3 linked regions of the Mus musculus genome follow. The protein of the gene in region 1 purifies or fractionates together with the protein of each later gene. This does not show direct contact. Links are inferred from orthologs where the notes say so. Each region holds a gene or a part of one and is shown in the gene's direction. Other genes may lie near its edges.

Region 1 (3,648 bases):
AAGCTTGGAAGAGCAGCAAGTGCTCTTAACCTCTGAGCCATTTTTCCAGTCCCAACCATGTTTTTTGGTTTTTGTTTTTTTGAGTAAGGGTTCTTCATGGTCTGGCAGTCAGTAAGTAGGCTAGGCTGGCCAGTGAGCCCCTCAGATCCTCCTGCCTCCCAGGCCACTAGAGTTACAAATGTCCTCATCACAATGAGATTGTTTTTCTACATGGATGCCAAAGCAAGCCTTGCATGGAGCTGTCTCCCCAGCTCCACCTTCAGGACTCTTTTTTTTTTTTTTTTTTTTTTTTTTTGGTTTTTTCGAGACAGGGCTGTCCTGGAACTCACTTTGTAGACCAGTCTGGCCTCGAACACAGAAATCCGCCTGCCTCTGCCTCCCAAGTGCTGGGATTAAAGGCGTGTGCCACCACCACCCTGCTACCTTCAGGAGTCTTAATATGAAGCTGTGATTCGTGCAGGTGTCCTGGAGTTCAGTGACTGTCCTCTGCGGGGAGGTGGCTTCCTAAGGGTTTGGGTCAAGGCTTCTCTGGAGTGCTGGGGTGACTCTCCTAGGTGACTCTCTGCCGCTCTTGCAGATGTGGAAAGCCTCTGCAGGCCATGCTGTGTCCATCACGCAGGATGATGGAGGAGCTGATGACTGGGAGACTGATCCTGATTTTGTGGTAGGAGTCACCAGCCTGCTTTGTCTTACTGGCTGTTTGCCTCTGAGGTTCCCAGCCTGCCCCTGCACTGAGCTGCATAATTTCCTCCAGGGCACAGGGGTACAGCTTAGACGTACTAGTTAGGGTCTGGGATATACTAATTAGGGCATAAGATAAGTAAATTAGGGTGCCAGGTGTACTGTTTAGGTCTCAGGGCATACAAGTTAGGCATGAGAGTACTACATATTTCTCTAGGATGGGAATTATAGTATTTAGGGTATGGGGTGTGCTAGTTAAAATGGGGGGGAGTATGCTAGTTAGGGTACAGGATGTGCTAGTTGGGCTCAAGGTATACTTGTTAAATCATGTATTAGTTTGAGCTCAGGGTGTACTAATAGGGTTCAGGGTATACTAGTTAGAGTACAGAATGTACTAGTCCTCAGGGTGTTCTAGTTAGGGCATGTACCACTGGCTCTTCCAGGGTAGAGATACACTAGTTAGGGTTTAGGGAATGCTTTTTTAGGGTGTGGGATGTGCTAACTTCTTCTCTTTGCAGAATGATGTGAGTGAAAAGGAGCAGAGATGGGGTGCTAAAACCGTGCAGGGATCGGGGCACCAGGAACACATCAAGTAAGTACCTTATGGCACCCCACTCTCCCACACACCGTGCCCATAGGGTGAGATCAGAGCGGGCCTCCCTGCCTCTCCAGGTGAAGATCGTTAAGAGTCTAGTGTTTGTGCGTGGGCCTAAGGTGTCAGGCACACACAGATAATGGACAGGAGACCTAGCCATGTCTTTCAACACAGAACACAGTAGCATAAACTCTTCACTTTCAGTGGCAGCTGCTGAGGGTGTGGGATGGCTTTGAGTAACTTGGACCCTAACCATCTTCATTTGGATCATTGTCTACAAGTTGTCTCCTGGAATTTAGTGCTTGACCTTGGGAGCCCAGCTCCAATCTTGTGGAATGTACCATGCATCGAGTCTGACCCAGCACCTTCTGAAATGCCAACTCTACAGCAGCTTGCATCCCTGTCAGGGAGGGCAGGCAGGCCCTCTGCAGACACCTAGATGCTGTTTTAGGCCCCAAAGGGTTAAGAACACATCCTGTATGTCTGCTTTGGTATTTTGGCTGCGGTAATCAGAACGTTTGACTAGGTGCCCAGAAGAGGGCTGTGTGGTGGCTTGGCTTGTAGGTGGATTTTTTTTTTTTTTTTTTTTTTTGAGACAGGGTTTCTCTGTGTAGCCCTGGCTGTACCTGGAACTCACTCTGTAGACCAGGCTGGCCTCGAACTCAGAAATCGCCTGCCTCTGCCTCCCAAGTGCTGGGATTAAAGGCATGCGCCACCACCGCCCGGCTTGTAGGAGGATTGTAGCTGATATTTTTATCTATTTCTGAGATAGAGTCCTGCTGAGTTTCCCTGTCTGGTCCCACCTTCCAAGCTCGTGACATTCTTTCCCATAGTGACTTTCTGAATCTGAGTGTAGAGTAACCCAGCCTACCATGGAAGAGGTTTCGAGTTTCCCTGGTGTAGTAGAAGAGGGGATGGATATGAGGTGAACAGGGATCTGGGCAGCCAAGTGCCTATGAGTCTGTCCCCATCGTTTTAGAACATGATGGGAAGGGTGCATGGGAACACCCATGTGGCTCTCTGGATGGATGAAGACTCCAGGGGGAGGGGCATATGGGAGTCCCATGCTTCCTCTCAGGTTGTTGGTGGTGTTTCTCTTTTGCTGCTCATCAAGATCGGTGGTTCCGGGCCTGGTGTGCCTCTGTCCCCACTTTCGAGCTTGTTCATATGCAGAGCTGTGGGGCCTGTGTCTGCTGCTCAGGAAGGCCCTGTGACACAGCGCCCCAGTGACAGCTGTTTGCAGGCAGACAGGTTCTGGCGCTCCTCACCTGTACACCATTGCTGCTTGTCTTAGTTTGCTCTGCATTGCTATGATAAAGATACTGACCAAACACAACCTAGAGAGAAGCAAAGGGTTCTTTTCACCTTCCAGCTTCTAAGTCCATCACTGAGGGAAGCCAGATCAGGAACTTGCAGGCAAGAACTAAAGCAGAGGCCATGGAGGAAGACTCCTTATAGCTTACTTCTCATGGTTTGCTTGGCTGCTTTCTTATACCACCCAGGCAGATCCCAGGGGCTCTCCCAGCATTAACTCCGCCCCCCAGTGGGCTATGTCCTCCCATATCAGTCATCAAGAAAATGCCCTATAGTAGGTCAGTCTGATGGGGGCATTTTCTCAGTTGAGGTTTCCTCTCTGAGAGGACTCTAGCTTGTATCAAGTTGCCACAATGCTAACCAACATAGCCAGCTCCTTCTGGTGACCTTGGGGGTTTGTAGATGGGACTCTAGGTGACATTTACAGAAATCAACCCTCTATCTGCTGATCTAAGTGAAGGGAAGCTCAGCTGCGCTGCCTCTGGGACTGGCCACATGGTCCTGTGTGGATTTAGACCCATATTCCTCCCACATACAGAGCCTTGGAGGCAGGCACAGTGAACAAACAGGACAGCAATCTCGCTGACTCACAAGGGCATCTGTATTCCTGTTTGTCCTGCTGTCGGGTGAGGTGCATGCCTGGACCCTGACATGGCCCTGCTTTTCCTCCCCTCCAGCATTCACAAGCTTCGAGAGAATGTCTTCCAAGAACACCAGACGCTCAAGGAGAAGGAGCTGGAAACGGGACCCAAGGCTTCCCACGGCTATGGCGGGAAGTTCGGTGTGGAGCAGGATAGGATGGACAGAGTAAGTGGCTGACCGGGCTGAGCTGCTGGCCTGCATGGGTGCATGATGTGGGTGGCAGTCAGACTTTTCCTGAGTCATAGTGTAGAGTGGGGTTTGCTGAGGGTGAGGGGTTGCTCTGAGGGGTCTTCTATAGCTGCCCTCTGGTAAAGTTCTTCTGTGTCTCTAGTAGCTGTTTTACATTGTCAGAGGCCCCAGCCAGTGGCTAGTATGTAGGGGGGGCTCTCTGGGAGAGATCAGCACCATGACCGGCT
Region 2 (3,435 bases), on another chromosome or scaffold:
GCAGGAGGATCAGTGGTTCAAGGTCATCCTTAGCTTCATAGTAAGTTCAAAGCCAGCCAGAGAAACATAAAGACCCTGTTTCAAAAACAGAACCAAAATGACTAACAAATGAATGAGTCTGGTATTCCATGTGGCTTCTATTCTGGTCTCAGGAAGCCCTCTGCAGTTCTATGTTGATTATGTCAACTGTGGCCACATCACTGCTTATGGTCCTGGCCTTACCCATGGAGTGGTCAACAAACCTGCCACCTTCACTGTCAACACCAAGGATGCAGGAGAGGGTAAGGAGACGCTCTAGGTTTGACCTGCCCAAGTTGTCCTCCATTGGCTGAGAACTGTATGTGGGAGATGATCCTGAATGGTGTTTTCTACCTTACCTTCATGCTGAGCCATCAAGTCAACTCACCCACAAAGGTTCAGCAATGTGTCTCTGGGCACAGTTCTCACTCTTATCTGTGATATTTTTCAGGGGGCTTGTCTCTGGCCATTGAGGGTCCATCTAAAGCAGAAATCAGTTGCACTGACAACCAGGATGGAACATGCAGTGTCTCTTACCTGCCTGTACTGCCTGGTGACTATAGCATCCTAGTTAAGTACAATGATCAACACATCCCAGGCAGTCCCTTTACTGCCAGAGTAACAGGTACGGAGCATCGGGAGTAATGACAGGAACAGGTGGCATGAGGTCACAGTCTCTTTGGGCTGGATCTATAGTGGCTGATGGCTTGCACCCTTACCAGGTGACGATTCCATGCGTATGTCCCACCTAAAGGTGGGTTCTGCTGCTGATATCCCCATCAATATCTCAGAAACAGACCTTAGCCTACTCACAGCCACTGTGGTGCCACCTTCGGGTCGAGAGGAACCCTGTCTGCTGAAACGTTTGCGAAATGGCCACGTGGGTAAGAGGTCAAGAGGGAGCAAAAGTTTCTGTGAAAGAGGGAAAGCCAGGTGTGGTGACTGCCCATAGTCCTAATACTTGGGAGGTGTAAGTAGAAGAATCAGGGGAACCAATCATTGGCTACATAATGAGTTAAAGTCATTTTAGCCTGTAATAAATACCCTGTGTTCAGACAAAGGGAGCAAGGAAGAAGATTGTGGGCCCACATCTTGTTGATAGCCCTATCCTGTGCCTAGGGATTTCCTTCGTGCCCAAGGAGACAGGGGAGCACCTGGTACATGTGAAGAAGAATGGCCAGCATGTGGCAAGCAGTCCCATCCCAGTAGTGATCAGCCAGTCGGAGATAGGTGATGCCAGCCGTGTGAGGGTCTCTGGTCAAGGTCTTCATGAAGGTCATACCTTTGAGCCTGCAGAGTTTATTATTGACACCAGAGATGCAGGTAGGCAGTGTGGTCTGCTAGTTGGGGCAATACAGCTAGCTTTCCTTGGCATTCTGGCTTATAGCTGCTATCTATTTCCCAGGCTACGGTGGGCTTAGTCTGTCCATTGAGGGCCCTAGCAAAGTAGACATCAACACAGAGGATCTGGAGGATGGCACATGCAGGGTCACCTACTGTCCCACAGAGCCTGGAAACTACATTATAAACATCAAATTTGCTGACCAGCATGTGCCTGGTGAGTGTGGCAGCCATACCCCTTACCTGTGGTTTGGCAGCATTGCTAGTCACACACCTCAGTGCCCACCTGTAACTTGTGCATAGTATGGATTGTACTTTTTTCCTACAGGCAGTCCCTTTTCTGTGAAGGTGACAGGTGAGGGCCGGGTGAAAGAGAGTATCACACGCAGGCGACGTGCCCCTTCTGTGGCCAATATTGGCAGTCATTGTGACCTCAGCCTGAAGATTCCTGGTAGGGAAAAGATCAGGAGGGTTTCTGGGGCAACCCTAAGCATAAGTAGAGAGACAGGGCCCTCCCTGCTCACCAAGCTATCTTCTATTTGTAGAAATTAGCATCCAAGATATGACAGCCCAGGTGACCAGCCCATCAGGCAAGACCCATGAGGCAGAGATCGTAGAAGGAGAGAACCATACTTACTGTATCCGATTTGTGCCTGCTGAGATGGGAATGCATACAGTCAGTGTCAAGTACAAGGGCCAGCATGTACCTGGGAGCCCCTTCCAGTTCACTGTGGGGCCTCTGGGGGAAGGGGGTGCTCACAAGGTCCGTGCTGGAGGCCCTGGCCTAGAGAGGGCTGAAGTTGGAGTGCCAGGTAGGTGTACTTGTCTAATTCTTGCTATCCTAGGTGGGCCTAGGTGGGTGTTTGTAGGAAGTAGCCAGCAGGCATGTTGATCTTGGCTTTGCTTAGACTTGGCTGAGGCTGGGAACCAGTCCTCTGCTCCATGAGCACACACTGCTTTCCCACAGCGGAGTTCGGCATTTGGACTAGGGAAGCTGGCGCTGGAGGCCTGGCCATTGCTGTTGAAGGCCCCAGCAAGGCTGAGATCTCTTTCGAGGACCGAAAGGATGGCTCCTGTGGTGTGGCCTACGTAGTTCAGGAGCCAGGTATTGGAAACAGAAATGGCTGGGGTAGGGGGAGGTAGGACCTGAGTGTGGGTATGTTGAACCCAGGTGTTACATAGTCTCCACTTGGTTCTTATTCTCCATCGTAAGGTTCCAGGGACAACCAAGGGGACTGTGGGAGGGAGGCAAGAGGCCTTTCCTAGGCTAGCCTTTGGGGATATGTGGCACCTCCAGGTATAGCCTTATGTTCTCTTCCTTTCCAGGTGACTATGAGGTCTCAGTCAAGTTCAACGAGGAGCACATACCTGATAGCCCCTTCGTGGTGCCTGTGGCTTCTCCGTCTGGTGACGCCCGCCGCCTTACTGTTTCTAGTCTTCAGGTGAGGCACTGAGAGAAACTGCCCATCTGGGGCTCCTGGGCCCGGCCAGACCAGAGTCACCATAGCAAGCAGGTCTTGGCCCTGGGCTGAGTGCCTACGCAGAAATAATTCTGGATGGTAGGCTTCTGCTCTGGCCGGGTACAGCCCACGCTTGAGGTTGGCAGGAAGTACCCTGCCCACCGCGTGGAGTTTTTCTCGTGTCTCAGGTCTAAAGGCTTTGAACAGAACCCTGTGCCCATTGAGCACCAGGGCTGAGGTTTAAAGAGGGACAGCCTGTTAGAGCTGAGTGCTACCTACAGGGTGGGCCACCTTGCCTTTCTGCTACCTGGGTGTGTGATTGTGGAGAACATGTTTAGGAGATAGGAGGTTGGGGGTATGCCTGTGGCTTGCTGCCCTCACAGATCAATGGCTCTCCCTCTTTAAACCATGTTGGACACCAGATGGGTAAGTGACTCTGTCGGTCTTCTGCTCTCCCATTTGCCCTGGTTCTATACATCCTGTCTAACCACATCTGCTATGCTTCCAGGAGTCAGGGTTAAAGGTCAACCAGCCAGCATCTTTTGCAGTCAGTCTGAATGGAGCCAAGGGGGCAATTGATGCCAAGGTGCACAGCCCCTCAGGAGCTCTGGAGGAG
Region 3 (3,648 bases), on another chromosome or scaffold:
CTCAATTTAATGAGGTACATGTGCATTAGCTGAGCAGGTCTGGAGAATTGGAGAGCCGACATGCTCTTGGTAATTGCTTGGGGTTCCTTGGCAGTGAAGCTGCTAGAGGCATGATCACCGAGTTCATATCCTCCCTCCCTCCTCAGGAGCTCGGGGAGACAGCCCTTCATCTTGCCGTCAGGACCGCAGACCAGACATCTCTCCATCTGGTTGATTTCCTTGTACAAAACTGGTATGGCTTTTGTTTTTCATCTTAATGAACTGAGTATAGTTTACAGCACAAACCAGAACTGCGTAAGACCTATTCCCAAACTCTGTGCTCTGTGGTTAGCTGGTTAAAAGACCTTTATTGGCTGTGACTGCTCAGTTGCATCCCTTTGTCTCTGCCTGCTTTATAGTGTGCCCATAGGTCTGTGTATGATCTGCTAGGTGACGGAAAAAAAGCATAGAAAACACAGAGTGTAGAAACTGCGTTTAAGCATCTGAAGAACTTCTTAAGACATATACCTCATAGATGAGAGAGGACCTGTGGTCACAGTCTTTCTAATAATGCTGCAATCTTTCAGTGGGAACCTGGATAAGCAAACGTCTGTGGGGAATACAGTTCTGCACTATTGCAGCATGTACGGCAAGCCGGAGTGTCTGAAGCTGCTGCTTAGGAGCAAGCCCACCGTGGACATCGGTAAGTGTGGCCGCTCTCAGACATCCCAGAGGGCCGAGACTACACACACATGCAACTTAGTCACTGTGCCTCGCCTCTTGAAATAGTATCCTAGATAATTATTTGCATTTATTCTACTGTTTCAGTTAACCAGAATGGAGAAACTGCCTTGGATATAGCAAAGAGACTCAAAGCTACCCAGTGTGAAGATCTGGTAAGCAAAACCAGGATCAGAGGTGTGTCAGACATCAGCGGCCATGAAGTGTTCTTCTTTCTCAGAGGGTGGAATTGGGGAAGGATGAAGCATTTTGTTTCTACGTAGCTAAAGAAATACAGATAAGTGCTAAAGTGCATTTGAAAGAGTGCTGAGGTCATGGCTTTGCCTTCTGAGTGCACTTGTCACACTGGAGACCCACGCCTTTGTGGGAGTGAGGATTAGGATCATGCTGCGTGTTTGCCAGGACACCAGGCTGCTTTGCAGCTAAGGGGAGAGGATAGGATTCCTTAGGCAGTCAGTTCAAGAGCTGAGAAGAGTGTAGTGGTTTTCTGCAAGCTTAGCACCCTCCCTCCTGCCTCCCTCCTGTGCACACTCACCTTTCTCTCCCTACTTCGCTAATCTCCTGCTGGACCTTCACGTGAGCGGGGTTCTCTTAACCACAGCGCCTGGTGTCTGCCCTCTGTTGCAGACAGCATGTAATATACAGACTGAGCGAGTTGTAAAGAAAACAGGTGTGTGTTGACTCGTGGTTCAGGGTAAAGGGGCTGTATCCGAGATGGCCTTTTTCTTCTCCCAGTTAATCCCACTATGAGAGACAGGAGAGTACCTATGTTTTCTGCTCAGTGGTCCCTCATCTAAAGCCACCAATGTTCATCCATTATGGCTCCTTCCTGAAACCCCTGTCTAATCCTCATCACCTCCCAAAGGCCCTGATCTCAGTACCATTTCTGAGTTTCCACCCTTTTAAGACCTCTCGATGAGGATTAAGTTTTCACTTAATGGACTGGGGATAGTGGGACATGCCTGTAACCTGAGCCCTCAGGAGGCTTAGGCGGAGGATCACAAGCTCCAAACAAGCCCAGGCTCCATGGGGGAGGCATTGCAGTAAGGAAATATCTCTGCATTTCAGAGGCCCAGGCCAGGCGAGGCTGGAGAAGGAAAGGACACTCCACTGAGTTTGAGTTTCTCCAGACCTGGAAGTTGTACCTTTTGTAATTTTTGTTGCTTTGATATTTTTATTTGTTTCTTGCTGAGTTCTTGTGGGGAGGGGCTGGCAGGTGGGGGTTGCAGGGAGGACTGAAACTCTAATCTTCCCTAGCGCCAGGACCTGCACCACGATCACTGGCTGTATTATGTATTCTTGTTATCCCTTAAGATTTATTTAATTTTCTTTTTTTGTATATGAGTATTTTACTTACATGCTGCATGTATATATACCACTTGTGTGCCTGGGTCCTATAGAGACCAGAAGAGAACATTAGAACTAGTTACCATGTGAGCCACCGTGTGGGTTCTGAGACCCAAACCCAGATTATCTGCAACAAGAACCATCTCTCCAGCACCTGTATTTTGTATCTTGGAGTCCTTTGAGACCACAGTCTCTGCCCACACTGCCCTGGGTGTGTCATGCGGCCACCCAGCTTGTCTAGTCAGAACTGTGCCCCCTGGGCCGTGTCCTTTGGGGCTGAGGGGTGGGGTCTTGCTTGGTGCTTGTAGAGTGGTGGATATTTGAGCATTTCCATTAAGTGGTGTGCCCTTGCTGTTCCTTACAGCTTTCCCAGGCTAAATCTGGAAAGTTCAACCCTCATGTCCACGTAGAGTATGAGTGGAATCTTCGACAGGACGAGATGGATGAGAGCGATGACGATCTGGATGACAAGGTGAGTGCACGGGTGCGTGCTCCACATGCTGCACCCTCCAGAGCACCTGGGCCATCTCCCACCTTCTGTGAGCTGCATTGGACTGGGTCTTCTGACCTGAGGAAGCCATTTGGTCTCTGTTGGGCACCATGTAATAGCCGGACAATAGAACCTGTGGGAAAGATCTGGAAAGAGACAGTCATTTGAAGGAAGTGGCCTGTGCAGTTGTGGAGCTGGCCAGCCGACAAGCTACTAGTTCCAGCAGCCAGTGATAGCACAGAGATGAGGCTCAAGAGGGTCTGAAAGCCAAAGTCCTGGTCACTTTTTCTTAAGGTCTTCAGCTGACAGCACGAGGCCCACGGACATTTTGGAGGGCAGCTCAGATGCCACTGATTCCGTTGTGATCGGCTTTAAAATGAAGGCCGTGTCTACACTGATGATTGCCTGCACCCCACAGCCTAGTCGCTGTGTAGAATTAAACATGTAAAACACTACATATAAGTACCCATAATTGTCACGTTTGAGGGGTTTACCCGTGGTCTAAGTTGAGATAAATATTTTTCCATTGTCTCAGATTGTCTCTGTAGAACCTCACAGGATGCGGTGATTGTACCCAGAGAAAACTTAGGCACAAGAGGACTTGGCATCTTTTCTGAAGCCTTCTAGCTGATAGAGAGATGGCTATCTCTAGGATTAGGCCCAGGTCTTGGTGACTCTTGTAGGTGGTATTTATCTACCTTTGAAAGTTCCACCATATTTATCATCAGATGTATGCCAGGCGGGATTATAAGGGATACTCAGACAAAGGTCCTAATGTTGCTCTCCATTTCAAGAGGAGAGAAATGCTAACTCAGATGGTAATGTGACTGTCTAGTGAAAGTCCGAGCATTCCAGACACCTAGCTCCTCAGCCTTGGTGAGCCCTGGCAGTCTCATCAAGAAGGCAGCTACAGAGATGGATTTCCGAGACTAGGTGGGTACTGGCCAGAGGAAAGAAAAGAGGAATAGAACCAACCGCTCACCCTGTGAGTGGGAAGCATCTTCCTGGGGAAGGGAAGAGGTGCCCTGCAGAGTTGTGAGTAGTTTTTCAGGTTCAACCTTTATCTTTACCCAAGCAGTCAGAGGCCAGCA

What was found.
Region 2: the proteins of Cttn (region 1) and Flna purify together in Homo sapiens (affinity purification with mass spectrometry; 3 studies listed by BioGRID and IntAct, with this or other methods). This does not show direct contact. The link is inferred for Mus musculus from reciprocal best matches to the Homo sapiens genes CTTN and FLNA.
Region 3: the proteins of Cttn (region 1) and Asap1 purify together in Homo sapiens (affinity purification with western blotting; 6 studies listed by BioGRID and IntAct, with this or other methods). This does not show direct contact. The link is inferred for Mus musculus from reciprocal best matches to the Homo sapiens genes CTTN and ASAP1.

The regions. Positions count from the first base shown.
Region 1 is NC_000073.6:144,460,928-144,464,575, reverse strand, and holds part of Cttn (src substrate cortactin), read left to right. Parts: intron 1-577; coding exon 578-664; intron 665-1,199; coding exon 1,200-1,273; intron 1,274-3,267; coding exon 3,268-3,397; intron 3,398-3,648.
Region 2 is NC_000086.7:74,226,227-74,229,661, reverse strand, and holds part of Flna (filamin-A), read left to right. Parts: intron 1-152; coding exon 153-281; intron 282-469; coding exon 470-643; intron 644-740; coding exon 741-902; intron 903-1,137; coding exon 1,138-1,341; intron 1,342-1,423; coding exon 1,424-1,576; intron 1,577-1,687; coding exon 1,688-1,810; intron 1,811-1,904; coding exon 1,905-2,171; intron 2,172-2,326; coding exon 2,327-2,464; intron 2,465-2,685; coding exon 2,686-2,801; intron 2,802-3,327; coding exon 3,328-3,435. UniProt on the Homo sapiens protein: Promotes orthogonal branching of actin filaments and links actin filaments to membrane glycoproteins. Anchors various transmembrane proteins to the actin cytoskeleton and serves as a scaffold for a wide range of cytoplasmic signaling proteins.
Region 3 is NC_000081.6:64,120,899-64,124,546, reverse strand, and holds part of Asap1 (arf-GAP with SH3 domain, ANK repeat and PH domain-containing protein 1), read left to right. Parts: intron 1-146; coding exon 147-232; intron 233-566; coding exon 567-682; intron 683-807; coding exon 808-875; intron 876-2,431; coding exon 2,432-2,539; intron 2,540-3,648. UniProt on the Homo sapiens protein: Possesses phosphatidylinositol 4,5-bisphosphate-dependent GTPase-activating protein activity for ARF1 (ADP ribosylation factor 1) and ARF5 and a lesser activity towards ARF6.